Linked DNA regions of Cricetulus griseus. The protein of the gene in region 6 binds, or shares a complex with, the protein of the main gene of each other region. Links are inferred from orthologs where the notes say so. Each region holds a gene or a part of one and is shown on either strand. Other genes may lie near its edges. The genes, in order: Cwc22, Snrpd3, Plrg1, Rbmx2, Cwc15, Snip1 and Ppil2.

Region 1 (4,592 bases), on a different chromosome or scaffold from region 6:
GTGGTCAGGCTTTCACATTAAACACATATTCCATTAGGACATGCTTTGGATTAACCCATACTTTTCAAAAGTTCTTAAAAGTTTTGGAAACAGAAACCTTTGTCTCTGTCTGTCTCTATATGTTTCACTTTACATTATTTTTTAACAGAAAATGATTTCTCAGTAACAGTCCTGCTACAGAACAGAACAACCCTAAGGGGCATCCTCCTTGCTCCCATCCCCTAAATCTATGGAACTTAGGATTCATTTTCCTAAGCCTGTCTATTCTTGGCTTGCTTTCCCCTACATCCTTGGCTCATAGCTTAGGTGCCAGGGGATAGGGCTTAATTTTATTCAGTAGCCTGGCAGCTCACTCTTGAGCAAGGGTATCATTATAGTTTCTCTTGATCTACTGACTAAACTCAGTTTTTCACCCATTTTCATAACAAAGGCCAAAGACCTTAAATTTAAAAAAGAACATGATCATCCTCACCATACTCAGTAAATACATGCCTTGTAATAAAACACTTTAGTGCTTCTAATCGTGTACTAGATGTTTTCTTCAATTGCTCAAGCTTGTATTTGTGCAGAAGAGTCTCTTTGATGCTATAACAACTGAAAAATATATGATACAGGACTCCCAAAATTATGAAGCTACAGCATAGTTATAGTCTTCCTGGTAAAAACAGTGGCTGTGGAGAGGGAGGCAATACTTACATTATACAACACAGAAGACATCAAAGGTCAATGTTCTTATCCTTAAGGTAGAGAAGAAATATCTAAATGTAGCTACACCACAAACAGATTTGCTGGAAAAGAAAAAGCCTGGGGTGTACAGAAAGCAGGAGATACTAAGGCCTACTCCTGAAGGACAAGTAGGAATTACCCACGTAACAAGAGAAAGTCATTCTGGATAGGTAAACACATGCATACAGGCTGAGAGACAAAAAAAAAAAAAAAAAAAAACCCAAGGTGGGTGACTAAGTCATTTGAATAAATGGAACATATAGAAACTGAACATAAATGAGATGGACCATAAGAGACCGATGAAGCTAAACCATGAAAGGCTTTTTATGGATATAGCAGAGCTTTGAAATTCTCCATCATAGACAGTACCAGACTCTTAACAGGTTCCAATTCTAAAATTAAGTTTGAGAAAGGGAGGGTGGTTTTTCATTATCTTAGATCCACAAAGGACTAAAGTTAGTCTGACAACATATAGAGAACACTCCTCTGTCTCTTATTCTTGGAACCACCAAGCTGTCTGTCATAATCTGCATCAAGGCAGCACTATTAGGTGCTGTGCCCTTTTAGGCACAGAGGAAACTGGACCCTGATGGTACAAACATAGGAGTGTATCACAGGCCTTCATCTAACCTTCATACTTTGTATCCTCCCCTTCCCCAAATCAAATCTGGTCCTCAGCTTTACTATTTAAATGTAGAGCTGAATATATTCTGCTAACTCTCATAGAATGAACTGGAATGACCTTTCTGATCATTATAAGTTTTGTTTGTTTTTTTTCCAGAGCACAGTCTGGCTTAAAGGAAATCTCTCCACAGAGAAATTTACAACATAGCCTCCAGACACACAGCACTACTACCCGCCACAGAAGCTCTGGTCTAGAAGGAAAGTACTCAATAAACTGGTTCAGAGAACCCAAAGGATTACTGAGCTTTGTGCAGCTTAAGCCATTAAAGAGTTAGGTTCAAGCACAGATTAAACATCAGTTCATTCTGGGTCTCTCATAGCAGCTCATTCTTTAATCACCGAAGCTTTTTCCTAAAGAAGGAAGCCCCATACTTGTTTTTCTGCTTTCTGCTCACTAGGATTTACTGATGTTACAAAAGGCAAAGGTGTGTTTCAATCCACTCCTCTGCCCATGTGCTAACTTTTAAGAAAATCCTTCCAAAGTTTGTGCTGTGGTCAGCATCCAAATGTCTTTTCCCACATTTACCTGGGAGATGTAAGAAAATGTGTAACAAGCCTGAGGAGCTGCTGAAATCCATACTAGAGTCCTTTGTGTTCCCCTACCCTCTCATGTTAGTAAGCTCAGACTTAAACAGAAAACAAAGGAAATTTGATAGTATAGCTGTATAAACTAATAACCACTTCTTTTTGAAACTAGTCTATGCCCTGACTGAGTCTGACTAGGCCAGTCATGAACAACTTAGGATGTTAGGGATAGAAAAAAATGCAGTCTATTAAATACAGTGCACAATTCACCGAAAAAATGTAGCTCATTTTTACATGTAAGGGTGTTTTGCCTTCATGTACATTATGTGCACAACTCAAGTGGCTGGTGCCAGCACAGCTCAGCAAGAGGCTATCCGGTCCTCTGAAAACTGGCATTACAAATGGTTGTAATTCACCATGTCGGTGCCTGGAACTGAACCCAGGTACTCTGCAAGAGCAGCAAGCACTCTTAACCTCTGAGCCATCTCTCCAGAGGCTTACCATGCTTAAAATAATTCATGCTTCCCCAAATCATTCTCTGCTTCCCTCAAATAAACGTTGGCGGGTATAATGGATAAAATTGTCTCGCAATTACAGCAGGTGAAAATAACTAGTACTGCATACCTATGTTTGGGACTTAAGAATAGTACAGATATTTTAGCGTTAGGATTAACGACGAGAGATAAAACGCACACCAAGCGAAACATGGAGCACTAGGGATAAGGCACACGACAGAGGTTCAGTCAAGTCGATGAGAAAGAACCACAAATGAAAATGTTAACAGGGTTGGCCAGTGGGCTATTAAGTTGAATGAGGCAAGAGCGTTACTACAGTTTATTAATGCCAGCCCCGGGTCCTGAGGAGCAGGGACTTCAGCAAGCGGGACTGCGAGGATACGGCCCTGGGAGCTCCCAGGAAAGGCGTCCACCCGCGAGAACCTAGACCAGAGCCCATTCGCTCAGTCCCCTCCACCAGCGCCAGGCCCGGCCCGCTCACGCCGCACCGCGCGGGGCGCGGGCCGCCGGTGGAGACGGCGCAGCCACGCGCGGAAAGCGAGGCCCACCCGGCCAGCACCCACTCGCATGCTCCTGTCCTCTACACGCGATCCAGCACCCCGCCGCCCCCACTCTGGCTGCTTGTCTATCCCGAGTCTCCAGAGTTCGGTAATTACCTAAGGCTCCACCGTGCCGCCATCGCACCGGAAGTGCGTCACTTCCTCTTCCCGGGTGAAGGCAGAGCGAGAAATTCGTGGAAATCTGGTAGTAAATTGACTCTAGTATGTTACTCTAGTAATGATAATACCGTGAGCAACACCAGAGTCAAAGCAATCCAGCCATCCACCCTGTCCCTCCTTGCCAAGACTGTGCGAAAATAGAAGTCCGTGTGAACTACAATGTCCAGGATCCTCTGGTAGCGCGGACGGAAATGAGAAGTAGTACCCTGCCAGAGATAACCGCGGAGCTTCATGGGAATTGCAGTTCGTAGTGGGTAGGCGGTCACAACAGAGAAACTTGATTGTGGGTTAGGTTTCCAGGCATGCAACTTATTTTAACAATTTCTATTACCATAAAAAGTAGCTCTTAGCAGTCACTTTCTGTTGGCTTTGTTTTTTGTTTGTTTGTTTGTGTTTTTGCAGTGTTGAAGCTTAACCTTAAGATACGTACTAGGTAAGTACTCTACCATAGAACAGAGCCTTACCATGAAGATCTTAAAAATGAGTAGAGTTCCCTAACCTGGTGGAGTGGCACACACCTTTAATCCCATCACTCTTAGGAAGCAGTGGCAGGTGGATCTCTGTGAGTTTCGAGGCCAGGCTGGTCTACAATGTGAGTCCCAGTGTTATGGTAGAAGTTTTACCCCAGCCCCTGACATCCATATATCCAAAGAATCTGGAATGTTATGGTGGAAGTTCCACCCATATCCCTTCCCCTATCTCCCTCCAATCCCTGCTTCATCTCAGAAAGCCTGCCAAATGATGACCCTCCCAGAGATGCTCAAGACCACTCCACAGGGTATTTAAACTGCTCCCCGGGTAATAGACATGTGGTTTTCAAGTCTTTCTTTCTGTCTCCTCTCTTGGGAGCTGGAAGTCCATCAGGGAGTATCCATTAAACATGGACTTTTCTCTAATTCGGTTTGATTTTGTCTGACATGGATTGCTGCATCGGTGGAGAGGCTTATCCGGGTATAGAAACCTTTCATCCAGGATAGCCAGAGCTGTTAACACAGAGAAACCCTTTCTCAAACAAGGTAGAAATCTCTTTCAGGCTTTTGACAAAAAGCTTTACCAAACGTCTGTTTAGCAGGGGGGAAAAGGTGACAAAATGTTTAGTTCCAAGATTTTAAAATCAAGTGAATGGAACCCAACATGTTGGTGCTCACTCCCAGCCCTTGGGAGGCCAAGGCTGGCATATGGCATATCTGTGTGAGTTCCAGGACAGCCAGAGCTACATAGTGAGCCCCTGTCCAAAAAAAAAAAAAAAAAAAAAAAAAAAAAAAAAAAAAAAAAAAAAAAAGAGCAAAATAAAAAGCAAAAAGCAAATTGTAGATAGATTGTTAGATTGTGACTCTTTGGTCTTAGGGAGGTACCACCTGGCATGCTTAGGATAAGGAGAACACTACTTTGTAACGCTGGAAAGTAAAATCTGTAAGAATTC
Region 2 (4,708 bases), on a different chromosome or scaffold from region 6:
AAGTGGTCAGTGCTCACCTGCTGCTGGGGTTTGCTCTACACAGCCTACTGATCTTTATGCAATGTGCTTAGGCTCTGGGTCAACCTAATGAAGACTCATCATCTTGATGTGGGCAGTATTATGGGCTAAATTATGTCCCTGCAAAAATTAGGACACAATGAAGTCCTAATTCCCAGTACCTCAGTTTACACACTCTAAAGTAAATCAAAGTGAGCATTCATCTGTTATCACCGATTCTGGAGGGAACAGGGGGCAAGGGCAGCACAAAGCTCACACACAAGACACACTGCTTTCCAAGATTTAACCTGATAATGTACTAAGATTTGTGTCTTTGCATCACATGGGCTGCACTTCTGAGAATACCATAATCTAGTCAGACAAATTCCTGTTATAGTTGGGCTGTTTGAAGCCCACCTCGGTAAGTTTCATTAATTAGAGCAGCATACTAAATATATTAATAGTCACTATCCAAATTCTTTCATTCTACTCCCAAAACTAAATGCCCTAAAACAGACAAATACATCTTTTTTGTTTTGTTTATCGAGACAGGGCTTCTCTGTGAAACAGTTCTGGCTCTCCTGGAACTCAGAAATCCACCTGCCCCTGCCTCCTAGTCTTGGGATTAAACGTGTGCACCACCATGCTCAGCCTTCAGCTTCCTTTCTTATTCCAGAAACAACTGCCTAGAAGTGGCTTAGCCCTTAATAAGCTGGGCACTTACCCATCAATCACTAATCAAGTAAATGCCCCACAGAATTGCCTATAGGATAGGCATTTTCACAACTGAGGTTCCCCTTTCTAAGGTGACTCTCACTTGCACCAAGTTGACAAAAAAACTAAGCAGCACAATTACAGTAGTTTAAATGAAAAGTATCCTCCACAGTTGCAGGCATTTGCACACTTGGCCCCCATGTGTTGGTGGGTTGTTTTGGGGGGGGTGGGATGAGGGGATGCAGCCTTGCTGAAGGAAGAATGTCACTGGAGGCAGGCTTTCAGATTAATACCCTCCAACACTTCCAGGTAGCTCTCATTACTTCAAGCTTTCTATTGAAGATGTAAGCACTCAGCGTCCTGCTATTACCATTTCTCCCCTCCACGATGGACTCATTCCTTTGTAATTGCAAGCCTAAAAAAACCCCTTCTAATGGTGTGTTATCACAGCCACAGGAAATAACTAATGCAAACCCTAAAAGGCAATAGTCAGGCCACCTGACCCACAGGTGTGATTCTAAATAATGTACTTTCCCTCTCCAACCTTTACTTTTCTCATGTGGAATACAGTTAACAGGCACCAGTTATTGCACGCAAAGCACTGAGCTGGCCACTGTGAACACACAGCCATCTGAACTCTCTATGACAACTCCAAGGTATGTGTATTAGACCTGGAGCAGTCAGAGATATTACCTTTCACCCACAGTTCCTTCACAGGTGCAAAGCAAGGTACCTGGCAGTTCATGTTGTCCTCTGCTTCAATGAGCTTCCCTCGATACACCTCGCCAGTGTTGGTCTCACAAGTTACGATGTGGCCCTCAGCCTCGTGCAAGACTTTAATCGGCACACCGATAGACATCTTGGCAGGAGTGTTCCTGTGGAAGAGAGAGACAACAGCTGTCTTTCAGAGCTTAAGAAGGACTGGCATACCATACCCTTTGCAAATATGTCAGAGCTGCATTTTCTTTCTTTCTTTCTTTCTTTTTTTTTTTTTATTCTGAGACAGCGTTTCTCTATGGCTTTGGAGGCTGTCCTGGAACTAGCTCTTGTAGACCAGGATGGCCTCAAACTCACAGAGATCCGCCTGCCTCTGCCTCACGAGTGCTGGGATTAAAGGTGTGAGCCACCACCACCGCCCGGCCTAAGCTGCATTTTCTGTGGAAGGAGTCTGACTCTTGGTTTGAAGGAACCACCATGGCAAGGACACACTGCCTTCGAGCTGGGAAGGATGGCAAGCAAGCTGGACAGAAGAGGCTGGTGGGAATGAAGAGTGCCTCTTATCTATTCCCAAACACATGACCCTTTATAGTCACCCAAGAACTATGATATGGACCTCAAAAGCAATCACTGCTTACCTGTAGCTATTCAACTGAAATATAAATTAAAAAGCCCCTCCCCTCCCAGTCACACTAGTAATATTCCAAGTGCTCAGCAGACATAGACCCTGATAAGATAGCAAGGCGTTCACAAAGTGACAGGAAATGCTCACAGGAGCACCATCAGGGTCGACGCTCGATTTAAGCCTCAGTAAAAGACGGAGGCTAAGCGCAACTGTGATGAGCGTTCCCACCTATGTCCATGAGAAGGCTATAAGGATGCTGGGCGCTGTCTCTCTTGGTGAGGAACCACGGCTTTCAACTTAAGGAGTGTGAGTTTTATGCTGAAAACGGTGGAGGGGGGGGGACACAAAAGGGTCATTGCCAAAGGCTCAGTAGAAAACAAAAAGGAATAATAGCAGCATCTGCAGGATAGCTCGAACATGGCCCTTCTGCAGCACAGCGACTCGCTAAGACTCGTGCAGCAGTCGTGGAAGGCAGGGGAGGGCCAGCGCCGGAATCCGAGGGGAGCAGGGATGCAGAGGACGCTGAAAAGGAGGGCACACAGGGAAAGGGGGTATTTCGTGAGAAACGACTGCGGGCGAGCTCCGAAAATCGGCGAGCCGGAAAGGCACAGAACGCGCAGACAGGCGTAAACGAGGAGCTGCTCCAAGCGCGGGTGAGACGGTGTTTGGATCGGCCCAGGCTTCCCGCCCGCCATTAGTGCCCCGCTGAGCTCCTCCGCAGGCTCCCTTCCTGCCCCTAACCCTCCGGGGACGCCTAGGCCTCCTCTTACCGGTTCTCCGCCTCTCCTCACCGGCTCCCTTTCGGCCCTGGCACAAACGTTACACGGCGAAGGCGTGAAGCGAGGGAATGGCGGGCCCGGGGTACCCAGAATACCACGCGTTCCCAGGATACCGCGCGCAGGGCCCCTCCTCTTCCTTTCCCCAGCGGCGAGAGCGCTCTGACGTATGCTTCCTCCTTAACTCCGCCGGCTCGGAAAACGACGGCTCTGGCATTATCGTTCCGGCCCTGGAGAGGACCCGGGGGGCCGCCGGAAGCATCCGTCCTCGAGCCCCAAAAGGAACATGGAGACCCCCCCCCCACTTACAAAGTACTCCAGGGACGGATTGGGCGGGAGCTAGGCTGGAGCCCCAAAATTGCTGTGGTGCCACAGGAAGTGAGGCTTGGACTAGGAATCTAAGCTTTGGATCTGGTCGCCATCAGGTAAGCGGCGCACCGAGCGTGGGAAACTGGCATTTTTCATCGTGTGGCTAAGACCGAAAGGGAGGCAGAGGAGGATTCCCGGGGCGTTTCGATGAGGCAGGCACTGCGAGGGGCCGGCGCTAACACCCGGGGCTGCAAAGGAGCAAGCCGAGCGGAGGGGGTTTGGGAGGAGCCAACGTCGCTATGGAAGGGCCTGGGGGCGGGGCCCGGGAGGGGCGGGGCTTCCGCAGAAGGCGGGCCCTGCGGGTCGCTCTTTATGGGAGAGAAGTGGGTGGGCGAGGAGGCGTGGCCTAGGGGAGGGGCGGGTCTCCAGGCCGGGGACCTGGCAGGGACGAGGCGGGGCTTGAGGCGGCCTAGCCCCCGCCCACCCGGCTCTGAACCGCGGAGGCGGCGGCGGCGGCGGGCGGCGGTGGCGGCGGCGGCGGGAGGAGGAGGAGGAGGAGGAGGAGAGGCGGCGGCGGAACTCTCCCCACACTGGCCGCGCTCGCTGCCCAGCACAAGTCGCAGCTGCGATCAGCTCCAGGCCGGGGCCATGGGCGCCCTGCGCCACCCGGGTCATGAGGACGGAGGCAGAGGCAGCGGGGCAGCCGCTCGAGCCCGGTCAGTGCCTCTCAGAGGGCCTTGCCCTCACCGGGGAAACCGAGGGGGACTCCGCCCTGGAGCTGGGCAGGGTCTGGCCGCGCGACCTTGGGCCGCAGGCGGCCTCAGCCCAGACTGGAGCTTCCAGTGGACCTTAGCTAGGTGGATGGATATTCCTTCTCGTCTCCCGTCCTCCGCTTCTGGTTGTTTCTCGGGGAGTTCTGAGAGCAGTCAAGTGCAAAAGTCCGAGGGGGCAAAGGCACTGCCTTCCCCAGAAACGAATGGTCCTGCTTGAACCCCGTTGCGTGATGCTGTTCCTAGGGGGAACTGTGGAAGGCCTGGGGCTGTGAAGGGGGAAAGAACGGCCTGAGATCCCTCAGCAAAGGGAAGGGCCTTTTTTTTTTTTTTTTTTTTTTTTTTTTAATCTGGCTTCCCAAACGCAGCGCTTTTGTCTTAGTACTCTTCTCTCTCTGGTTCCCTCCGCCCCGAGGAAACCCGAACCCCTTTGCTTGCTCAAGAAGTGGGGAAAGTTGGAAGTCATGGTGGAGCTCTGCTTGGGGCACAAGAGTTGATATATTAATAAGCTGTTGTGGCGTGCTGCTATCTCATGGGAAGGGTCAAGGGGTTTGGGGCCTGAGCCCTTCCTTAAGTGTCAATTGGAGAGTAACACCACTTTCGGGGAATGGTTCCTTCTGGTGGTAGGCTGGAGCAGGGCTTGGACCTACCCTGGGATTTACATTTTTACTCCTCCAGTTATCTAACTGTGAACTTTGATAAGATCGTTGCCCTTTCTTAGCCTCAGCAAATAATGGCTCACTTGTGTCGAGCTAAGAGGTAGATACAGTGGTAAAGTGTTTATAGATGGTATAGGATTA
Region 3 (4,065 bases), on a different chromosome or scaffold from region 6:
TTTACATTTATGAAATGTCAAAAAAAATGTGTAATTAAGTTTAAAACATGCTTGTCAATATTCCAAGCCAAAAAAAAAAAAAAAAAAACCTAAAATCTGAAACACTTGCAGTCCAAGCACTTCGAATAAAGAATGCACAACCTAAGAAGCTACCATCAGCATCACCCCATTAATCCAAAACTATATTGAAAGCTATGAAATTCTACCCTTAGGAGGTATAAACTGGGCTAAGGGATGTATTAATTGGGACACTGCTTGCCTATTATGCATGAAGATCTGGGTATATCTCCAGCCTGCAATTCAGGAACTCAGGAGGCAGAGTAGCAGAATCAGGAGAGGTCAAAGTTAGCTCAGCTACACAGGGTTCTAGGGTAGCCTGGGCTACATGAGACCCTATCCTGAACAAACTCACATGATATCATTCTAAGGAAACAGAAAGCCTGAACAGAGATCTGCTCTGAAATGTGGTCTTTGCCAAATGAACTCCATCACAGTGCAAATAAAGCCTGTACTCCTCTCAAGGGACTGCACAGAACATCACAAAACCAATAGCACCCAACTGCAATCATACCAACCTGCATTACCAGTACAGTCCACAATAACATAAAGTCATACAAGGGTCAGAACATGCCTTGTATTGTGTGTGTGTTGGATGCTACTACTAGGGTAACACTTTCCCAGTAACTACAGTAAGGAAACATAAGTTAAAAAAAATAAATGATAACTGATTCACTCACTGGCAGCAGTAAAAGCAATACAGGAACCTAGGGACAAACCCTGTTGAAGTTGAAAAATACCTTAGTACTATAAAAATTGTTTTCTTAAAATTTAATTATTTTGTGTGTGCATGCACATACACATGGCACACAGTCACACACAGGTCCTTGTGCTTGCACACAGCCACAGCAAGTGCTCTTAACTCACTGAACCATCTCCTCAGCCCTATTCCTTGTATTTTTGAGACTGATTAGTAAATACCAAGATCACAATATTGTCTTTAAAAACTATATATAATGTTAAGAAACAAGATTTTGGATTCAAAAAAAAAACAAAAAACAAAAACTAGTAATTTATCAAAGCTATGTTTTTAGTGCTATAAAATAAATGTTAAGGACTATCTCAGTTTGCTATTTCTATTAACAGATCCCAGGACACTATTGATTTCAGCATCTGAGTAAGACTTTAAAGTTAAAGGAAAGGAAGGAATCATATTCCAAAAGCTAGAAATCTACAGTTCTTTTGACCCAAGAGACTTACGGAATTCATCGCTGTGGGCTGGGAGCGGTCAGAAGCCCCTGGGTGTCGGTACTCACTTCCAGCAGGAGCAGTACGATTTGCATCAACTCTGCAGAACAGAAAGATCATGAAATAATTACTCAGCACCTCTCTAATTAGGTATTCTGCACAAACTTTTCTTTGATGAATTCTGGAAGCCAGCTGGGAGACACCTCAGTTGGTAAAGTGCTTGCTATTGCAAGCATGAGGACCTTTGTTTAAAAAAAAAAAAAAAAAAAAAAAAAAAAAACAGCATGGTGACATGTGCTTGTGATTCCAGCACTGGGAACAAGACAGGCACACCCCCAGGGCTTGCTGATTGCCAGCCTAGCCTACTTGCTGAGTTCCAAGACAGTAAGAAAGACCTTAAACAAATAAAGGTAGGAGCAGTGAAATGGTACAGTGTGGGTAAAGGCATTTGCTTCACTTGCCTAAGTTCAACCCCTGAGCCTACAGTAGAAACAATTCCCAAAGCTGTCCTTTCATTCCACATGAGCATTATGGTATGTGCGTGCTTGCGCTCTCTCTCTCTCTCTCTCTCTCTCTCTCTCTCTCTCTCTCTCTCTCTCTCTCTCTCTCTCTCTCTCCTTTTTAATGGTAGGTCAGTAGTATCTGGCTTCCACAGGCACACACATTAACAACCAAAAACTGCAAATGGTGAAATGGTGAAGATCTGTGTCACTAAAGCATAAGTAATACCTGGCCTGATTTGGCAAAGACACAGCTAAGGACTGTGCAGCTGATTCACTTGGCATTCTTTGGATCTTAGTATCAGCAGTCAGGGCAACACCTATTTAAATAAAAACAGTTAGTTTCAGTATTATCGACCTTAATTACTTGCACTTAAAACAAACCTGGAGGAAAACAAAGTCATTTCTAAGCAATGACAGTATAATAATCTTGATTAAGTTCAGCTTGTCTTTGCTTTTAACTACTTCATAATAAATACTGGTTGAATACAAGCAGGTTGGCATTAAGAGCAACTCAAGATTATTTAATAAAGTCAAATTTCTATTTATTGAGACAGTATGTTTATAAGCAAATAGCAGTTATATAAACCTGTCTACACATGTACACATACATGTGTACTTGCTTGCTTCAGCCATACCTACTCCATATGCTTAAATTTAGGTACCTGCATATTTGTCTAAACCAACAATAACACATTTGTTTAGACCTAGTACAGCCTTATTGTCACCTACCAGGTCCTGGTGGATATGGATGTGTACCTGTCACCAAATATTCAACATCTTGTCCTAAAAATAAATAAATAATAAAGTCATTGCCAGTGAATTTATCTTTATTCAAGTATCTTTAAAAATGAATTATTAATATTAACTACAGTTTTCCTTCCCAACTAAATTGAAGCCTCAGAAATCAAGCAAGTTGGTCATTTTGCCTGTAAGATGTTACCAAATCAAGAAAGAGCATGCATTTTTAGCTAGCCATGCTGGGAATACAGGTTTTCCCATTCACTGACAACTACCTGGGTGGTTCTTCAAAGCAAATAGTTTCACATGGACACAAGAATTCTTTGTTCCTTATAATCTCATCTTTCTGACAGATGGTCTCCCCACAGGCTAATAATAAACTTCAATTTTCCCTGTAGACTCCACTGTAACTTTGTCTACCTCTTAAGAACTGTACTACATTTTGTTTTCTAGTGAAGTCATCAAGTACAAATCTTAGTCACTACTCCAGATGATGAGCAATTAAAACTTCCACAGTAACAGCAACATAATCAGTCTTCCCAGTGAGGCATTAAGAAAACATTTTTTTCTATTTTAAAAATCCACATGTAACCCTGATTCACCTTGATTGGCAGGATACTGTTTATGAGGATATGAATCTGCAGCGTTCTGAGGTCCCTTCTCCTTAAGGTTCTCTTTTGAAGTAGGCATATGCAATACAGGACCATACTCATTACGAAGCTTGATTGCCATTTTCCGCTTGTGACTATTTAAAAATTAGAAACAAGAAATGCATCTTTAAATACTGAAAACACACTCACCAATGAAAATATTCAATAGCCAGAAAACAAGCACATAAACCAATACTTTACTTGCTCTCACAGATACAAAATGTTTTTCAAGTTAAACAGTATTTTAAAAAGTACCAAATTTCAAAATGCGTTTCCATACATATATATTTACTTTTTCTCACAATCTATCATATAGCATTCATTAAACACAAGTAGGACCTTAGTTTGCCCAATAAACATGTAAGCTTTCTTGATGAGACCTCAAGGGTCCAAATGAATTAAAGGCATACACTAATATATTTTTTAAAATATATGAAAATGTCTGGCAGACACCTTTACTAGTTATTGAAAATGTCAGACCCAATGAAAGCACTAAATTAGTTCAGCCTTTTAAAGAGAAATGTACTTATATTATTTTTAAAAAATACACCTTATAGATTAAATATAAATAAAATGAGGGGGATCAAGTAGATTACAAAAGAAAAAGCAAAGGACAAAGAAGGGTACTACAAACAACACAATCCCAGAGTAAGGCTGGTGACAACCAAAATATGCTCAAAAGTCTTCATTCTACTAAGGAGTAAAGATGGGAGTAGGTACTGGGCAAGTACAATTTCAGCTCATCAAGGCTCCAGAGCAAGAAGCTGAAAACTCAAAGTGATTCATTAAAAATAAAATAACCTAACAGGAATGCTCTGAATTACTGGGTAACATAGTTACTTTTCTACTTCGGTGGCAAAACACCATAACCAAGGTAATTTACATACCAAGTATTTAATCTGGGGATCATAATTCAAGAGGGTTAGTCT
Region 4 (3,887 bases), on a different chromosome or scaffold from region 6:
GAGATGTTTGCTTCTGTAGTTTATTTTTGTAAGGCAAAAACAGTATTTTAAGCTGGCTATGGAGTTGTATACCTCTAATGCCAGTAGAAGAGACTGTGAGGTAGGAGAATCACCATGAGTTTGAGGCCAGCCTAGGCTACATAACGAATTCCAGGTCAGTCTGCACTACAGAGTGAGACCCTGTCTCAAAAAGCCACCAAAGCCAGTTTAATTCCAGTCTGAATGACATCCCTGTGTGGTGAAGGCTAGAGCTTTGATCAGTCCCAGGCTAGATAAGGTTTCAGAACATTAGCATGTGGGAGATCCCAGAGCTTAGATCATTTGAGAGGCTTTCTGAAGGAGCCTAGTTCATTTCTGTCAAGTTTTTCCTGAACCTTGTTCAGCATGGACTTGCATTAGAACAAACTGGAATTCCCAGGAAAGTGCAGTGTTGACCTCTCTATTTGGGTTCCTATAAATTAGAGGTCATCCATGATGACAGGGCCCTCTGGGCCCTATCTGTGTGGCATTGTAGGATTAGGTCAGAGCACTGAAAACTTGGGCCAAACAGACACAGATTTAGCCTGGTTTTTATCAGCATTGCTGGATTGTTCCCTGAAATGGTTTTACTAATATCCACTCTCACTGAAATGCCTATTTACCCAAATCCTTTTTTTCCCTTTTTGATATAGGGTTTTTCTGTCCAGCCCTGGCTGTCCTGTACCTTTCTGTCTTGTTACTTTACTGAATTGTTATGCTGTTTATTTTTGTCATTGTCTATCATTGATGCTGTTCAATTTTCTATATACACTCTTGTATATAATCTGCAGATACTTTTACTTTTTCATTTCTTATATTAGTTTTATCTAACTGCATTATCTATGCCTCCAATATATTGTCAAATTGTTCTCAACCTTATTTGAAGCACATTAACCTTTTTGCATTTTGATACTAGATTTGGGGTTGGTGTGTATATGTGTAACCATATAATTTATATGTACTCATATAACTTATGTATCAATTATAGTTTTATTTTCTGACTCTTATAAAGCTTTATTTGGAATTGGTTTTAAAAGAAGTAAGGCAGACTATTTTTGTATTCAATTTTTGTATTCAATTCAAATTCAATTTGATCTTTATTAAAGTCTGTGTTTATTAGGTTTGTTTTATTTCATATTTATGCTTTTAAAAGAATCAAATTCTTCAAGGTTACAGATTTTCCTGAGTAGTGAGGCTTAGCTGCATCCTATAAATTTTCATGGCATTTTAAAATTTGTTGTTAGTTGCTAAGTGATATACCATTGACCTTTTAAATTTTGTTTCATTTTTCTTTCATCCATCTATTAGCTAAGAGAATAGGTTTCAAGTTCTGGTTAGCTGCAGGTTTTTATAAAAATATTTAAAAAAATGTTATTGTATGGGTATTTTGCTTGTATGTTTGTCAGTACCACATGAGTGCCCAGGCACAGAAGAGGACGCCAGATGCTTTGGAATTGGAGTTACTGATGGTTGTGAGCCTCCAAGTAGGTGCTAGGAAGTGAACCTGGGTCCTTTAGAAGAGCAAAACAGTGCCCTTAAACATTGAGTCATCTCTCTAGCTTCAGTAGCAAGCTTTGTTTAAAATATTATTTAAATATTTGTTTAAAATATTATTTCTAGTTTTATCACACTGATTGGTGAGTATATACTGTAGATTTTTAGAGTTTATTTTTAATTGATCCTCAAAAAGATTTGTTTTTAGTTCTGTGTCTGTGTGTGAGTGTGTGTGTGTGTGTGTATGTGCATGTACATACTCATGCTTGTAGAATCAATCCAGAGGCATCAGATTTCCCCAGAGACACAAAGGTTGTGAGACACCTGGCTTGAATGCTGGAAACTAAATTTGTTTTTTCTGCAAGAGCAGAGGTGCTCTTAACTTCTGAGCTGTCTTTTTTCCCCAGAAACTTTAGTGCTTATTGATATTTATTTTGAGATCTTACCAATAGTGAATCTAATTTGTTTTATGAATTCTTGAAAATAATTTATCTTGTTATATACTTCAAAAATACCTATATGTTTCCTAGTCTGACATTAGTGGATTATTGGCAATTATTTTTATTTCTGTTTCTTTTATGTTATTTGATATTAATTCATCTGGTCTTATTCCTTTAAGCTTTGTTTTAAACTTAAAAATCTCCAATAAGTTTCTGTTTCTTTTTTGTAGCCCTGGCTGACCTGAAAATCGAAATATAAACTAGGCTGTTTTCAACCTGCTGTATCATCTTGTTCTATTTCTCCTATACTGATTATTTGAATTGATCATTCAGTATGAAAATGTTTGCATTTTAAATGAATAATACATTTTATAAACTAAACAGATATGGGGAGATTGTCAACATTAATCTTGTGAGAGACAAGAAGACGGGCAAGTCCAAGGGATTCTGTTTCCTGTGCTACGAAGATCAGAGGAGCACAGTTCTGGCTGTTGACAATTTCAATGGAATTAAGGTAACTGCTTACTATGCAGGATTTGACTGGATTTTTCCTGTGTATGGGTTAGGCGGCATTCTTTTTTTTTTTTGTCTCCTGTTTACAGGTGTAGGAATAGTACTGGTCAGCTGGATGTATTGTGGGGGTTGTAGAGGTGCCTAGACACACTGGATAGGCAATGATTCCAGGAAACGATTTTCTGGCTTATGCATCTGCCAGGACTTATTCCTTTTCCGTATGTGTTAGCAAATTGTCATTCCAGAAACATGGGTACTGTGCCCCCTTATCTGGGGGATGTTTTTCTTATACACATTTTCCATCTGTTCTAGTGGATTAGAAACTAGAAACACTGCTCTTGGATATTGTGCTGTGCTAGGGAACCAGGGGCTTCATCATGGCTTTGTGAGCTAAGACAGAGCCATGTATATCTAGCATATGATTCCAGTGACTTCACATATTGGCTCCTGGACATTCTTTAGTTAAAATCTGGTGACTAATTCTATAAAAATAAGCCATTCTGAAATTTTAAAGGAGTAGTCTTCAGAAGAAGTCACCATCAAAGGAAAATTGCTTTTTAAATTTTTTTTATCAAAATGATAAATAGACAAAAGCTTCTCAGGCTTAAAGGTACACATAAAAATGTACTCTAGAAATGGAACAGTAAAATTGAAATTCAGGGTTCAGATGTTATTACCTGGAGAGAAGTGTATCTATTTGAAAATAGACTGTTTATAAAACACAGGCTTCATTTTGTTGTTCACCTTTGAAACTCTAGCTTATAGTCCAATACTCAGTTGGAACAGAAAGGTCCTGTTTGACAGGAGTAGAGAAAGGTATGAGAGCTCAAGAAAAAAGGAAGTAAAACTTGGAATATCCTCAGTGAGAGATGCTTCTCTATGAGACCCTTGATTCAATACCACCATAGCAAAAGCATTTTGTTTCCTTGGTCTTATTTTGCCTTTGTTGAAACAGCAGCTTTAGATTTCATGTTTCTGGCCCTCATGCTTTTCTAGGACATGTTTTCTTGTTAAACATTGTGTATAACTTTGCATGTATGTACACATATTCATATGTGTTCATGTATAGTTGGAGGCCAGAGGACAGCTTTGGCATCATTCCTCAAGATCTGTCTATTTTTTCCTTTATTTCTTTTTTTTTTCAGACAAAATCTCTCACTTGTCTGGAACTTGTGAGTAGGCTAGGTTGCTTGGTCTGTGAGCTCCAGCTGTCTTCTATCTCTGCTTCCCAGTGCTGGAATTACAAGTGTGTGCTGTCACCCAGATTATGTGGGTTCTTGGGATTAACCTAAGGTCCTTATTCTTACAAGGCTGGTGCTTTACCAATTGTACCAGTTCTCTATCCCTATAGATAATCAATTGTCCTTTAAATCCTAAAATCTTATATACTTTCTTGATGTGCTTTAGGGCAATACTTCTGAG
Region 5 (4,065 bases), on a different chromosome or scaffold from region 6:
AGCAGATTCCCTTTCTCCATATTAAAAAGGAAGTAAGACTGGAAACTGGTCAGACTCACCTCTAAATCCATTATAGATAAAATACCACACTACGGGAAAGAGATTGAGAAAGTTCAAACAGGGAAAGAACAAACCCCCCAAAAGTCAAATTGATCCTTAACATTTTATTAGACTTTAATTAAGCACATAAAACTGTACTACTTAATATATTTCTCCATGAACTTTTTGTGAAATTCAGATCGAAGTGTATCATTTACAAATCTTTTGTCTTTCTTCTGATCATCTATACCCTTTGCACAGTTCTTAAAAACGACATCATCGTCCCACCTAAAGGGGAAGAAAAGAAAATAAATACCTTATAATTCTATCAGGAAACAAGAACACCACACAGGCTGTAAAGCTTCATCAACACAGACACAATCTGCCTCCTGACAAGAAAAGAACTGGTGTGCCTATGGTGGAAGTTGTCACAGCAGGAGGCACCCATACTCAGAGCACATACCACTCCCCTAGTGGAAGCAGCTCTGAGCTACAAAGCAGAAGCAGACACACATACTGCGCTCAGGTAAAGGTGTGATATTTTCAGGTCTAAAACCAAGAGGCAGGGCCATGGTCCTGATCCAACACCACTAGACAGTAAGTGATCCATTTCCTGATGCTTTGTAAAGTTTTGTACATACTTCTAATCAATTATATCCATCATGCTGGTCATACATCATAAAGCAACAAAAGACAGAACTACAGGAATGTAACAATGAAGATTCACAGATTGGCCCCAGTCTCCATTAATACTGAAGAAGTATCTGCTAAGGAGCTCAGAGTAGAACTCAGCTGGATTTCAGAGAGCATGAAACACACTCATGGAAAGGTGCCATGGAAAGTAAAGTGCATAACGTCAGAGCAGCACCTCCCATATAAAAACATAAACCCTTCCTCATGACAAACACAGACACAAACATACATAAAACACAGCTTACATTGTGCTTGTGTGTGTTGGTGTATATTTACCAGGAGAAATTGCACAAGGAAAATGAGCAAAGACTATGTGTACCTATGGGTACTGTGTCAGTAAATTTGCCTTGATGTTGCACACATGAGAAGCTCAGCAGCATGGTAAACTGGGATATTTACTCCTGCATCCACAAAGGGAAGAATAAACCAGACTGCTTCATATTCATTTATCGTGTTTTGTCTCTTAACTCATCCCAATGAGCTTTTGGTCCCTTGCTCCCTTCTCTTCGAACACACATCAGCATACAGTATTCCCAGACTGTCACTCATTCCTCTCACAACACTAATGGGAATGTCTTGGCTGCCCTCTTCTCTAGGTGCTTAGTCTTAGCCTAGGATTTTAAATCCAAATACTAGTTTTTAAGCACTTACTATGAACTTATACTACTCCAGTACTATGAACTTATACTGCACCCTACTCCAGGCACTGACACAACCCTCTGCCCATGCTGGTGACTCCCAGACGAATTATTACCAGCTTGAACCAACTGCAGAAACACACAGACTAGATACACTTAGAGATGTGTAGAGCACTCCAATCCTAGCATGCCTGGAACCTGTTTCCTCTTTCATGCTCAGTATAAGCCATACTCCTTCCCATGCCTGCCTTGCAACTGCTCAGGTAAAATGCTTGGAGTCTGGTCTCTAAACTGCTGGTGTCAGCAAACCTTCCCTTGACTGTACTGTTGTCTTCAAGAATGTGTGTTAAGTTTTTAGCTTTATGTCACCACAAGGACTGTTCTTTTACTGTGATCGAGTAAAGAAACGAACGAATTTAGAAAAAAGCAGCTATTATCGTGACTTTTAAAAGAAAGAACCATGGTGCTGGGATGAGAGAAGAGCTTGGAAGAAGATGGAGTTTTCTTTGTGTGTGAGCAGGAGCATGACCTTTGGGGTGAATGGGCAGGAGAGCAGCTGGGGCAGTGCTTCATTCCTGATGAGACAGCAGCGGTGGAGGTGAGCAGAAAGGAAAGGCAACGGGACTCCTCACCCCTGACACAGTACAGCCCCCCCCCCCCATCACACACACACAGTGGCTCCTGTGAGTGCTCACTCTACTTTCCTCTGCATCCTCATCTGTTGTCACATTATGCAGACTCTTTCCAGCTCTCTAGTGCCCTCCTCCTTCACATGCAGTACAGTGTTCACTCCCAGCCTGCCTCTTAGCTCGGCTAGCACTGGAGACCCGAGTCACCTCTCACCATCACTTGCCTATAGTACATAACTAACTTGACTTCCACGCAACAGAAGTTCCTGCAGGACGAGTCCCAATAACCTTGATCATCAAGTGTCAACTTCTAGTTTCACTGTTTAGTGACCTCTTACAGGAATAGGAGTGTAAGGAAGTCTATGTCTTTCCACCTTGTGACCTGAATGTATATCTATGAATACTCACAACTGTATGATCTGTGTGTATCTTACAATATCAAACATCAATATGGTCATGGCAAGTCCCCTGAATCCTTCTAGAACTGAACTGTGAGGGGTGGTCTTGAGGACCCTTCCACTCACATCCCACGTACAGGTTTTGTAGCTACCGTCATGTAGCTAGTGATCAGGTTTAGACCATGACTTGGCAGACACTTGGTTATTATGAGTATGCATTAAAATGAAGTCATCCTGCCTCTCTTCTTCTCCCATTATTCTAAAATCTGACTGAGGTTATATATAGGAGGTGGGGTCTTAGAAGCCTTATGTAACACATAATACAAATAATGTACCACACATATAGATCAACCCATTATTTTTTATCCCCTTGGTTAAGACAGGGTTTGTGTAGCCCTGGCTGTTCAGCCTAGTCTCAAACTCACAGAGATCCGCCTGCCTCTGCCTCCCAAGTGCTGGGATTAAAGGTGTGTGCCACCACCATCTGGTCAACCCATTACTTTTAGTACCTTCTTTTAACCTTGAAGTTGGCCTGAGGCTGGGATGGGCCAGTGAGATTGAGGAGGGGGTTTCCACTCAGAATATTTTCCATTCGAATTCTCTCTTCCTCTGCTTTTTGTTCTTGTTCCTGTCAATGGCAGAGGAAGACACAAAGTTACTAACTTCAAGTCAGTTGTCTTATATTGGTTCACAAATGAACATCTGTCAGATGGTAGTTTTCTTTCTCCTTTCCTTTCTCCTTTTTGAGACAGGTTCTCTTATAGCCCAGCTGGCATGGAACTTGCTAGGTAGCAGAGGATGACCTTGAACTTCTTACCCACTTCCTGAGTGCATGGTTGTGTACCACAGATGTACACAACAAGGCCCAGTTTTTCAGTGGTAGGGACCTAGGGCTTCGCACATGGCAGGAAAGCACTTTACCAACTTACTCATTCCTCTTTTTGATTCTTGACAAATACCAGAAAAATCTTTGTAAAAAGTAAATACATTGCTATTTTTATTACAAATATCTCATTCTTTCCAAAATAGTCAACAGTCTCTCAATTGTGAGAAGCTGAGATACAGATGTAAACGTTTTATTTAGTTACTTACAGGTTAAGTTTAGGAGCATTTTAATAAACATTTAAAATTTAAAAACATATTGTCAGACTTGTAGGTGAATGGTCAGACAGCCTCTGGATCAAATCTACACTTTCCCCCCAGGCTTGAGATTATATTTTTTGAGAACATGGCCACCCTATTAATATAGGCACTGTGGCCACTTCTGAGCTGTAATAGTAACAGAGCCACTACTTGTGTGTCTGGGTGATCAGCCACACAAGAATATTTACTGTCTGGTCCTTACAGGAAGTGTGCTGATCCCTAACAACAGGCTAATTAGCTTGAATATGCTGCTACTGTAAACACCTTCAAAAAGCAGCTAAGGAGACAGGAATAAAAAGAAGTGAAGGTGTCACTCAACTCTTAGAAATACCAACACATTAGATGAAACTCCAATAATTCTTAAGACCTTAAAAAAATGCCTACTTATTCCTTAATAATCAATCAGAAAACCACCAACAGTTAGGCATTTAACAGTTGCCCACTAGTGGCATGCCAATGACTCTTCTTGAAAATTAAAAAAAGATACAAAACATAAAACTATTTATTACAGGAGTGGCACTCTAT
Region 6 (4,065 bases):
GGGATTAAAGCCAAGAGCCACCAGCCCTGGCTAGGCCTAGAACACGATCCCCCCCGCCCCCCATGGATTTAGGTTCTCATTCTCACTATATCACTTGGCTGACCTGAAACTCTGCCTCTTCCTCCTGAGTGCAGCCCCAGTCCCTTCTCCTTTGATAGTAGCTATTCCTGACCTTTTTAATTTAGCAAATCTGAGAAAATTTCTATTTTAACATTGGTCCTCTGGTTCCTAGCGAGACAGGTGGTCACTAACTGTTAGCTTCTTCTGGAGACTGCTGTTGAGGCTTTGCCTGTGGACTGGCTGATTACTGATTGATTTCTCATTGGTCTGTTTTTGTCCTTGTTTTTTTGAGACAGCATTTCTTTGTGTGATAGCCTTCCTGTGTAATAGCATGCTGGAACTCTGTAGATCAGACTGGCCTCAAACTCACAGAGGCCTGCCTGTCCCTACCCCCTGAATACTGGGGTCAAAAGCATGTGCCACCACCATCAGTCTCTCATTGATCTACTGGTGTGTTATGTGTATTGTAGTTTCTGCCAGGCTGATTTTTTTTTTTTAAAGATTTATTCATTTATTATGCATACAGTGTCCTGTCTGGATGTATGCCTGCAGGCCAGAAGAGGGCACCAGATCTTTTTACAGATGGTTGTGAGCCACTATGTGGTTGCTGGGAATCGAATTCAGGACCTCTGGTAGAGCAGTCAGTGCTCTTAACCTTTGAGCCATCTCTCCAGCCCCATGCCAGGCTGATTTTTAGTATGTAATTGTTGAAGCTGGAGCTTTTGAAATTATTTCAGTTTCTTTTTGGCTTATGAGGAAGTTGACTTTTTCCTTTACATAAATGTAATGGTTCTGTCCCCCCTCCCCCTCCTTCTCTCCCCCTCCCTCCCTTCCTCTCTTTTTCTCTCTGGAGGGAGGACAGGTTTTGTGTAGCCTTGGCTGGCTGTCTTGGAACTCACTCTGTAGACTAGGCTGGCCTCAAACTCAGAGATCCACCTGCCTTTGCCTCCCAGGTGCTGGGATTAATGGAGTGAACCACCACCACCACCTGGCTACTCTGTTCTGTTTTCTACACATGCTGCCCTGTGAGTTTGCTAGCAGGTGACTGATGGGAATATTATTTCTCCTTCCCTCTGTATCAGCCTCTTGTTTTGAGGGCTCTGGATGTGGGCTTGGGCTATCAGGCCTGTATTTGAGGAGCAGCATGGAGTATAGTCATAATGGCCCTCCAGGGGAACAGAACTACCACAGATGACACTCCAGGGGAATAGAACAGATAGTCTTGTGTAGATAGGAATTTGCTCTGAATATCATCAGCACTCAGGTTATAGATGTGTTGTTCATTTTGGGGGATTTAATTATTTTATGTGTGTGGGTGTTTTGCCTGCATGGATATCTACACCATATAGATGCAGTGCCCATGCTTACCACAAGAGAGCATTGGATCCCCTTGGAATGATAGTCACAGATTGTGAACAGTTATGTGGGTGCTAGGAACTGAACCTGGGTCCTGGAACAGCAGTCAGTGCTCTTAACTGCTGAGCCATCTCCCCAGCCCTGACAGCTTATTCACAGAGTAGAAGCCGTCTTTCCTTTACTGAATGCATCTTAATTTCAGGAACGTGAGGACCATCCTCGGAGAGGACGAGAAGATCGGCAGCACCGAGAGCCATCAGAACAGGAGCAGAGGAGAGCTCGTAACAGTGAGCGAGACCGGCACCGGGGCCATTCCCGCCAAAAGAGGAGCTCTGATGAGAGGCCTGTCAGTGGTCAGGGTCGGGACCGAGACAGCCAAATTCTGCAGGCCCAGGAAGAAGAAAGGGACTTTCATAATGCCAGGCGCCGGGAGCATCGTCAGCAGAATGAAGGTGCTGGCGGTGAAGCTCAGGAGGTGATCCCTCGCCCTGCTGGTAACAGAAGCAGAGAGGTGCCTGTTAAAGAAAAACCAAGCTTTGAACTTTCTGGGGCACTTCTTGAGGACACCAATACCTTCCGGGGTGTGGTTATTAAGTACAGTGAGCCCCCAGAAGCCCGGATCCCAAAAAAACGGTGGCGTCTGTACCCCTTTAAAAATGATGAGGTACTTCCCGTCATGTACATCCATCGGCAGAGTGCTTACCTTCTGGGCCGACATCGCCGCATCGCCGACATTCCCATCGACCATCCCTCCTGCTCAAAGCAGCACGCAGTCTTCCAGTATCGGTAGGTAGACCAGGAGGAGGACTGGAAAGGGAGCTGGGGTGAGTGTCTCATTGAGGACCCCTATGCTGTTTGTGGAGATGCAGAAGAGGCCATTACACCTTGTATCTAATAAGCTGGGCTGAAAGAGTCTAGCAGTCCTTGAGTAATCTCTTAACATTTGTGTGAGAATCTTGAACTTGATATCAGAAACCCAGATTAGCCGCTATCATTGCGGTGGTGCAGGCCTATAATCTCAGGTGTCAGAAGGCCAAGCAAGTATAAGCCAGAGTCAGAATGCCAGGTATATGCTGGCTGAATCTGCTGCTTAGATCATATTACCGTTACTATCTGATCCTCCACAGTCCCGTGGGAAAACAGGACCAGTGTTAACATCCTCATTTGACATCTGGGAAAACTGCAGCTCAGCACAGTTGCTGGTAGCAGTAATGATCTTCAGAGCAGAGCTCTGTCTCATATCCCGCCCTTGACACGAAAGTCTCATCTCATTCTAATGTTTTTCCCCATTTGGGCTGGTGCTAAAATAGCTGTACAGCATTGGAGGAAGTATATTTGTAGCCATAGCAAGAAGCCTTGAGTTCTACATTGGGATATCTCATGGCCCTCCATCCCCACCCACCACCCACAGCCAGCTCTACTTTTTCTCTTAGATATATTTAAACTGCTCCCAATTTCCCTGTCCAGGGCAGTGCTTCCCCTGTGACCTTCCAGAGGTTTTGTTTGAACCATGTTCGAGTCAGGTCAGTGACATCTAGATCTGTAGCAGAGAGCTGCAGAGTAGATGGTCCCTGGTAGGACTTGCTCACATGCTTCTCTCACTGGTCTCTTCTAGGCTTGTGGAGTACACTCGTGCTGACGGCACAGTTGGTCGGAGGGTGAAACCCTACATCATTGATCTGGGCTCAGGCAACGGGACCTTCCTAAACAACAAGCGTATTGAACCACAGAGGTACTATGAACTGAAGGAAAAAGACGTCCTTAAATTTGGGTTCAGTAGCAGAGAATATGTCTTGCTCCATGAGTCTTCAGACACATCTGAACTAGATAGAAAGGAAGACGAAGATGACGAGGAGGAGGAAATGGTGTCTGACAGCTAGCAACTGAGAAGCACCCACCCCCTCCCCCATGAGAATCCGTTCCTCCTGGAGGCCATGGGGTTGACTCCAGCGCCTCTTCTTGCCTTAAGTCTTTTCTCTGTTGCTGCCCAGCTTGTGTTGCAGTATGAGAACTCTCACTTCGTGTTTTGTTGAACTTGGCACAGCAGCCGCCTGCCTGTGGGCGCTTGTTTTCAGAACAATCTCACCAATTACAGCATGTTGAGTTTTGGTCAAAGTGTGTGGCTGTAGTGGGTGCCTTCAGAACTGCTGCACAGGAAACTTAAGCCCTTGGAAAGGGGATTGTGGCTTGTTCTCTTTGTACAGTTTCTTATTTATATAGTCGTTGAGCTTTGTGGACCAGGAGTTTTGTTTTGGTGACAAACCCTAGAGCAGAGAATCTCAGTAAGCTTTGGTTGTCACCAAAACAGCCTCCAGCTTATACCAAAGCTTTGGCCTGGGTCAGCTCTTGAGTCATAGAAGTTCATTTTGCACTTCGTTTTTTTGGGGGTGACAATTTACCACATAACCTCATTATTGACTGTCTAAGCTAGACAGACAGACACTCTGCGATGCCTGTGCAGATGTAACTGTGTCGGGAGGTCATGGCTCCTACCCACGGGCGCTGGTGACGTGCCATGTCCTGGGTGTGGAGCTGCATCCTCTGAGGATTCCTGATTTCCCCACGAAGCACAGACCCAACAGTTTGGATCACCTGGTCTTTTTCTTCAGCTTCACATTTTTATTCAGACATTACCTCTCTCTTCTCCCT
Region 7 (4,065 bases), on a different chromosome or scaffold from region 6:
TTTTGAGGGGGGGTTCAAGAGAGGGTTTCTCTATGGCTTTGGAGGCTGTCCTGGAACTAGCTCTCGTAGACCAGGCTGGTCTCGAACTCACAGAGATCAGCCTCCAACTCACAGAGATCTGCCTGCCTTTGCCTGCCGAGTGCTAGGATTAAAGATATGCACCACCACCACCCGGTTCAAACAGGGAAACTATAGACAATGAACTTTATTTAATTTTCCAAATTTTCCTGGGTAACTCCCTATATGGGAGACCCACCTCTGCCTTTCCCATGGCTGAGGCTTTCTAGGCTCGGCCTAAATGGGAGGACAGCACCTATCAGCTAAATGTGCTGGAGAAATTCCAGCAAACACAGACAGTTGCAGACAGGACCTCGGGCAGACCAGCACCTGCGCCCCAGGTAAGGCCTAAGCAAGGTCAGAGACCTCAAGACCCTGGCAGTCCCAGCCCCCCCTTCCATCTGTCCTGAAATGGAGAAGCCGCCTCTGAACATCAGACTCACGGTAGTTTGGCATTGAAGCCTGGGTCAGAGCCCACAGCACAAAGCAGACCTACTTCTGCTGATCCACTGCTGCCACAGGACCCCAGCTTGTCAAACATTCCTCCACCCCAAAAGTGTACTACGCCCTTCTGATTTGTTTGGAGCCAGGTCACCTCAACAGCCCTGGAGGGCCCCACAGGACTGGGAGGGTCCCAACCACCACACCTCCAGGTCCATCTCTGTTAGCACCTTCCCCAGCATTTTACCACTGGTCAGAGGCAGAGACAGAGCAACCCACTCACAGCATTCAGTTGGTCCACCTTCCTCTTCTCAGGTGCCTTCATGGTGGCTGCTAAAATCTCATCTCCTTTGAACTCTTTGTAGAGCTCCTGTAGTGTCTCTCGGGTCTCAGCATTTGTATTTTTCAAGTAATAAGATGGGTCCTGTTTGGCCTTTTCCTCATCTACAAAACAGGGTATGGACACTGAGTAGCCAAGACAGCAGGCAGCCAAGGCCCCAGAGGCTCAAGATGAACACAACAGGAATAGAGCTGGAACTGGCCACATGGCAGAAGCTGTGGGTGGCTTGACTAAGACAGGCTTCTCTGGCCATAGCACAGCCAGAGCTTACTGCCCTGGGGCATCTGGCAGTAGCATTAGTGGGTGCAGTAAGGTGGGACACACACAGAACACAACATCATGGGGCCTGGCTAGAGGGGTTTCCCTCATACAGTCAATGGGAGTATCAGGATGGTTCAAACGCAAGTGTCGCTGTCCTCTGTATCTACCTGTATTCTACAGCCTTTTCAAAATGTTTTGCTTGTGTGATTTTAAACGCGCTTCTCGCTTTTGTGTGTGGGGGGGGGGGGGGGGGTCTCAAGACAAGGTTTCTCTGTGCAGCCCTGGCTGTCCTGGAACTCACTCTGTAGACCAGGCTGGCCTTAACTCAAAGACTCACCTGTCCCTGTCTTTCAAGTGCTGAGATTAAAGGCGTGCCCTGCCACTGCCCAGCTAAAAGTGCTTACTTCAAAGGAAGGAAGAGTTTGGAGTATTTCATATAAGAAATGCTTCATCTATGCCATACGCTGCTTGCCAGGCCACTTACTGGGCAGTGAGCATCCCTAGGCCTGGCCTCTTAGTCTCCTGAGTTCAGTTATTCCTGAGTTGTTCTACCTCCCTAAATCCTGACTGGTCCACAGTGTACATTATAAAGGTCAGAATACTGCTTCCTGCTAAGGTGGGCCAATAAAGCTCTGGCCATGAGGGAACTGGAATTGATATGTAAAATAAGATTGTTTCCAATTTAAATAAAATTTATTTAAAAAAAAAAAAAGCTCTGGCCATGAGTCTAGCTGGCTCCTTGGAATGAAGAGCAAGTCCAGAAGCTTCAGCCGCTCCATTGTATGTTACAGTGTGATCAACGGCATGGGCCAAACACAGCACCCTACAAAGTCTGATGTCACCCAGTCACCCACAGTCTCACTTGTCCTGGAAAGGGCAGCAGCCAACAGGAATCCAAAAAAACCACAGGGCCCCCAGAGCAGAGGAAGGGAAAGAGAGGTGTCCTGGTGTTTCCAAGACTACAGCCAGCAGCTTCTCTGACCACCTGGAGCCTGACAGACATGGTGGTGTATGCATGCCTGTAACCCCAGCACTTAGAAGGAAGAGCTCACCCGAGAAGGAAGCACACCTCCACTTTACTTGCAGCAGCCTCAGTTGTCCATACCTGGATCTATGACTTTCATGTTGTTCTTCACATGGAAGAAATTGGAAACATTGAATTTGTCCAGATTGGTGGGGTCCTGTGACAAGAAGAGAACACTCAGGAAGAAAACCAGGCCTGTAGCAAGCACCTGCTGCCGACGGCAAGGCTTGACAGGTGCCTGCAGGGAGCAGTGGCCACGGGTGCTGTGGTACAGAAGATCACCAAGCCTCATGAGGAGAGCTGAAGGCAGAGCTGGGGGTCAAAGTGAGGCACTCACTGTGAAGCACTTACCTGCAGGGTGATGATGTCTTGCCTGGAAAAGGGCTCATCAGTCAATAGGTCCCTCAAGTTCTTGGCCTTGATGTTTAGCTGCTCCACTGCCTACAGCAGGACAGAGGTGTCATGAGCCCTCTGTCATGGCACAGAAGAGGGAACCCAGCATACAAAGAGCCAATCTGGGGTGCACATCTCAAATGCTCCCACTTTCCTGGCAGAGACTAGCTAAACCAACCTGGCTGCTCCAGACAAGAGGTCTAACATGGGCTCTTCTGCATCACAGACTGCTTCTTGCCCTGGTCTGATCAGTGAAGGAAGATAGATCCTGTACCTCCCATCAATCTGACACCTCCTCCTTCCTAAGAGCCTGGCCTCCCCTTTCTCCCTATACTCCCAGGGTCCTTTCCAGAGTCTGGTCTATGCTGAAGACAGGGAAGACTCCCTGGGATGCAAGGAATCCTTGCTTAGGCAGCCCCAACTGCCTTCGTAGGTTTCAGGTCCAAAGCCACCAGAGTCACCTAGGTTCTTTTTTTTAACTCCCGGAGACAGTTTCTCTGTATAACAGGACTGGCTGTCCTAGAACTCCCTCTGTAGATCAGACTGGCCTCAAACTCACAGAGAGCAGTCTGACTCTGCCTCTGCCTCCTGAGTGCACCACCACTGTCCAGCTGAGGTCACCTGATCTTTATTTTAAGGCCTCAAAAAGTAGGCTGGATGGCTACCTGCCAGAAACGATGCCTTGTGCTGAAGGCTATAAACCCCAAGGGGACAGGCATGCTCGATGTTCCTCGTTCACCTCCAGCACTCAGCCAGGTTTCTGCACTATCCCCAAAGTACATGTGAGGGCCCCACATTGGACAGTCCCACTTACTGCAATAGGGGACTACCTCATAGGTGTAGACATTGCCTGTTGTCCTGATGGCCACAATATGTGTGTTGTCAGTGAACACAGAGTACAGCACTGGACAGTGGTACTGCCCTAGAAAGAAAGCACACACAGGGTTAGTGGCCCTTAAGAGCTGTGATAAGGGATCATGATAGTACATATTTATAACCCAGCTACTCCAGATGCTGAGGCAGAAGAACAGACTACAAGACCAGCTGGACAATTTAAGAAGTCTCAGGGTCTTAGCTGCAGATAGGGCTCTGTGCTTAAGAGCACTGACTGCTCTTCCAGAGGACCTAGCTTCAACATGGCAGCTCACAAGTGGCTGTAACTCTAAGAGCTGACACCCTCACACAGACACACATGCAGCAAAATACCAATGCAGATAAAATGAAAATAAATTACTAAAAGAAAGACTACTTTTGTCTCAAAGTGAAAGTTAAAAGAGGCTCAGTGGCAGTGCATTTCCTAGTGTGTACTGATACTGCATCCAAAGGACCACATGGGACGGGACACAACTGGCGGTGGTGGCCCACACATTCAGTCCCAGCCCTGGGAGGCAGAGGCAGGCAGGTCTACAAGAGAAAGTTCCAGGACAGCCAGGGCTATACAGGGAAACTCTGTCAGGGTCGGGGACAGGGAGAAGAACCAGTAGGGGTTAGAGGAGGGAAGGAGGCAGAACCTTAGGCCAGCTACCAAGACCTGGGAACCACAGGGATA

What was found.
Region 1: Snip1 (region 6) and Cwc22 share a complex: the UniProt entries of both Homo sapiens proteins name them as parts of the minor spliceosome. The link is inferred for Cricetulus griseus from reciprocal best matches to the Homo sapiens genes SNIP1 and CWC22.
Region 2: Snip1 (region 6) and Snrpd3 share a complex: the UniProt entries of both Homo sapiens proteins name them as parts of the minor spliceosome. The link is inferred for Cricetulus griseus from reciprocal best matches to the Homo sapiens genes SNIP1 and SNRPD3.
Region 3: Snip1 (region 6) and Plrg1 share a complex: the UniProt entries of both Homo sapiens proteins name them as parts of the minor spliceosome. The link is inferred for Cricetulus griseus from reciprocal best matches to the Homo sapiens genes SNIP1 and PLRG1.
Region 4: Snip1 (region 6) and Rbmx2 share a complex: the UniProt entries of both Homo sapiens proteins name them as parts of the minor spliceosome. The link is inferred for Cricetulus griseus from reciprocal best matches to the Homo sapiens genes SNIP1 and RBMX2.
Region 5: Snip1 (region 6) and Cwc15 share a complex: the UniProt entries of both Homo sapiens proteins name them as parts of the minor spliceosome. The link is inferred for Cricetulus griseus from reciprocal best matches to the Homo sapiens genes SNIP1 and CWC15.
Region 7: Snip1 (region 6) and Ppil2 share a complex: the UniProt entries of both Homo sapiens proteins name them as parts of the minor spliceosome. The link is inferred for Cricetulus griseus from reciprocal best matches to the Homo sapiens genes SNIP1 and PPIL2.

What each region holds. Positions count from the first base shown.
Region 1 is NC_048599.1:97,135,543-97,140,134, reverse strand, and holds the start of Cwc22 (pre-mRNA-splicing factor CWC22 homolog), read right to left. Parts: upstream 3,290-4,592; 5' UTR 3,107-3,289; intron 1-3,106. UniProt on the Homo sapiens protein: Required for pre-mRNA splicing as component of the spliceosome. As a component of the minor spliceosome, involved in the splicing of U12-type introns in pre-mRNAs. Promotes exon-junction complex (EJC) assembly.
Region 2 is NW_023276806.1:263,063,202-263,067,909, forward strand, and holds the start of Snrpd3 (small nuclear ribonucleoprotein Sm D3), read right to left. Parts: upstream 2,978-4,708; 5' UTR 2,824-2,977; intron 1,587-2,823; 5' UTR 1,571-1,586; coding exon 1,445-1,570; intron 1-1,444. Other genes in the region: protein GUCD1, read left to right, coding at 3,812-3,854. UniProt on the Homo sapiens protein: Plays a role in pre-mRNA splicing as a core component of the spliceosomal U1, U2, U4 and U5 small nuclear ribonucleoproteins (snRNPs), the building blocks of the spliceosome.
Region 3 is NW_023276806.1:71,280,123-71,284,187, forward strand, and holds part of Plrg1 (pleiotropic regulator 1), read right to left. Parts: intron 3,232-4,065; coding exon 3,089-3,231; intron 2,532-3,088; coding exon 2,478-2,531; intron 2,066-2,477; coding exon 1,975-2,065; intron 1,346-1,974; coding exon 1,258-1,345; intron 1-1,257. UniProt on the Homo sapiens protein: Involved in pre-mRNA splicing as component of the spliceosome. Component of the PRP19-CDC5L complex that forms an integral part of the spliceosome and is required for activating pre-mRNA splicing.
Region 4 is NC_048604.1:20,788,404-20,792,290, reverse strand, and holds part of Rbmx2 (RNA-binding motif protein, X-linked 2), read left to right. Parts: intron 1-2,336; coding exon 2,337-2,466; intron 2,467-3,887. UniProt on the Homo sapiens protein: Involved in pre-mRNA splicing as component of the activated spliceosome. As a component of the minor spliceosome, involved in the splicing of U12-type introns in pre-mRNAs.
Region 5 is NC_048597.1:127,982,403-127,986,467, reverse strand, and holds the end of Cwc15 (spliceosome-associated protein CWC15 homolog), read right to left. Parts: intron 3,026-4,065; coding exon 2,907-3,025; intron 328-2,906; coding exon 198-327; 3' UTR 145-197; downstream 1-144. UniProt on the Homo sapiens protein: Involved in pre-mRNA splicing as component of the spliceosome. Component of the PRP19-CDC5L complex that forms an integral part of the spliceosome and is required for activating pre-mRNA splicing.
Region 6 is NC_048595.1:27,983,018-27,987,082, reverse strand, and holds part of Snip1 (smad nuclear-interacting protein 1), read left to right. Parts: intron 1-1,618; coding exon 1,619-2,202; intron 2,203-3,031; coding exon 3,032-3,296; 3' UTR 3,297-4,065. UniProt on the Homo sapiens protein: Required for pre-mRNA splicing as component of the spliceosome. As a component of the minor spliceosome, involved in the splicing of U12-type introns in pre-mRNAs. Down-regulates NF-kappa-B signaling by competing with RELA for CREBBP/EP300 binding.
Region 7 is NC_048597.1:72,234,758-72,238,822, reverse strand, and holds part of Ppil2 (RING-type E3 ubiquitin-protein ligase PPIL2), read right to left. Parts: intron 3,439-4,065; coding exon 3,347-3,438; intron 2,565-3,346; coding exon 2,475-2,564; intron 2,281-2,474; coding exon 2,205-2,280; intron 943-2,204; coding exon 782-942; intron 1-781. UniProt on the Homo sapiens protein: Has a ubiquitin-protein ligase activity acting as an E3 ubiquitin protein ligase or as an ubiquitin-ubiquitin ligase promoting elongation of ubiquitin chains on substrates.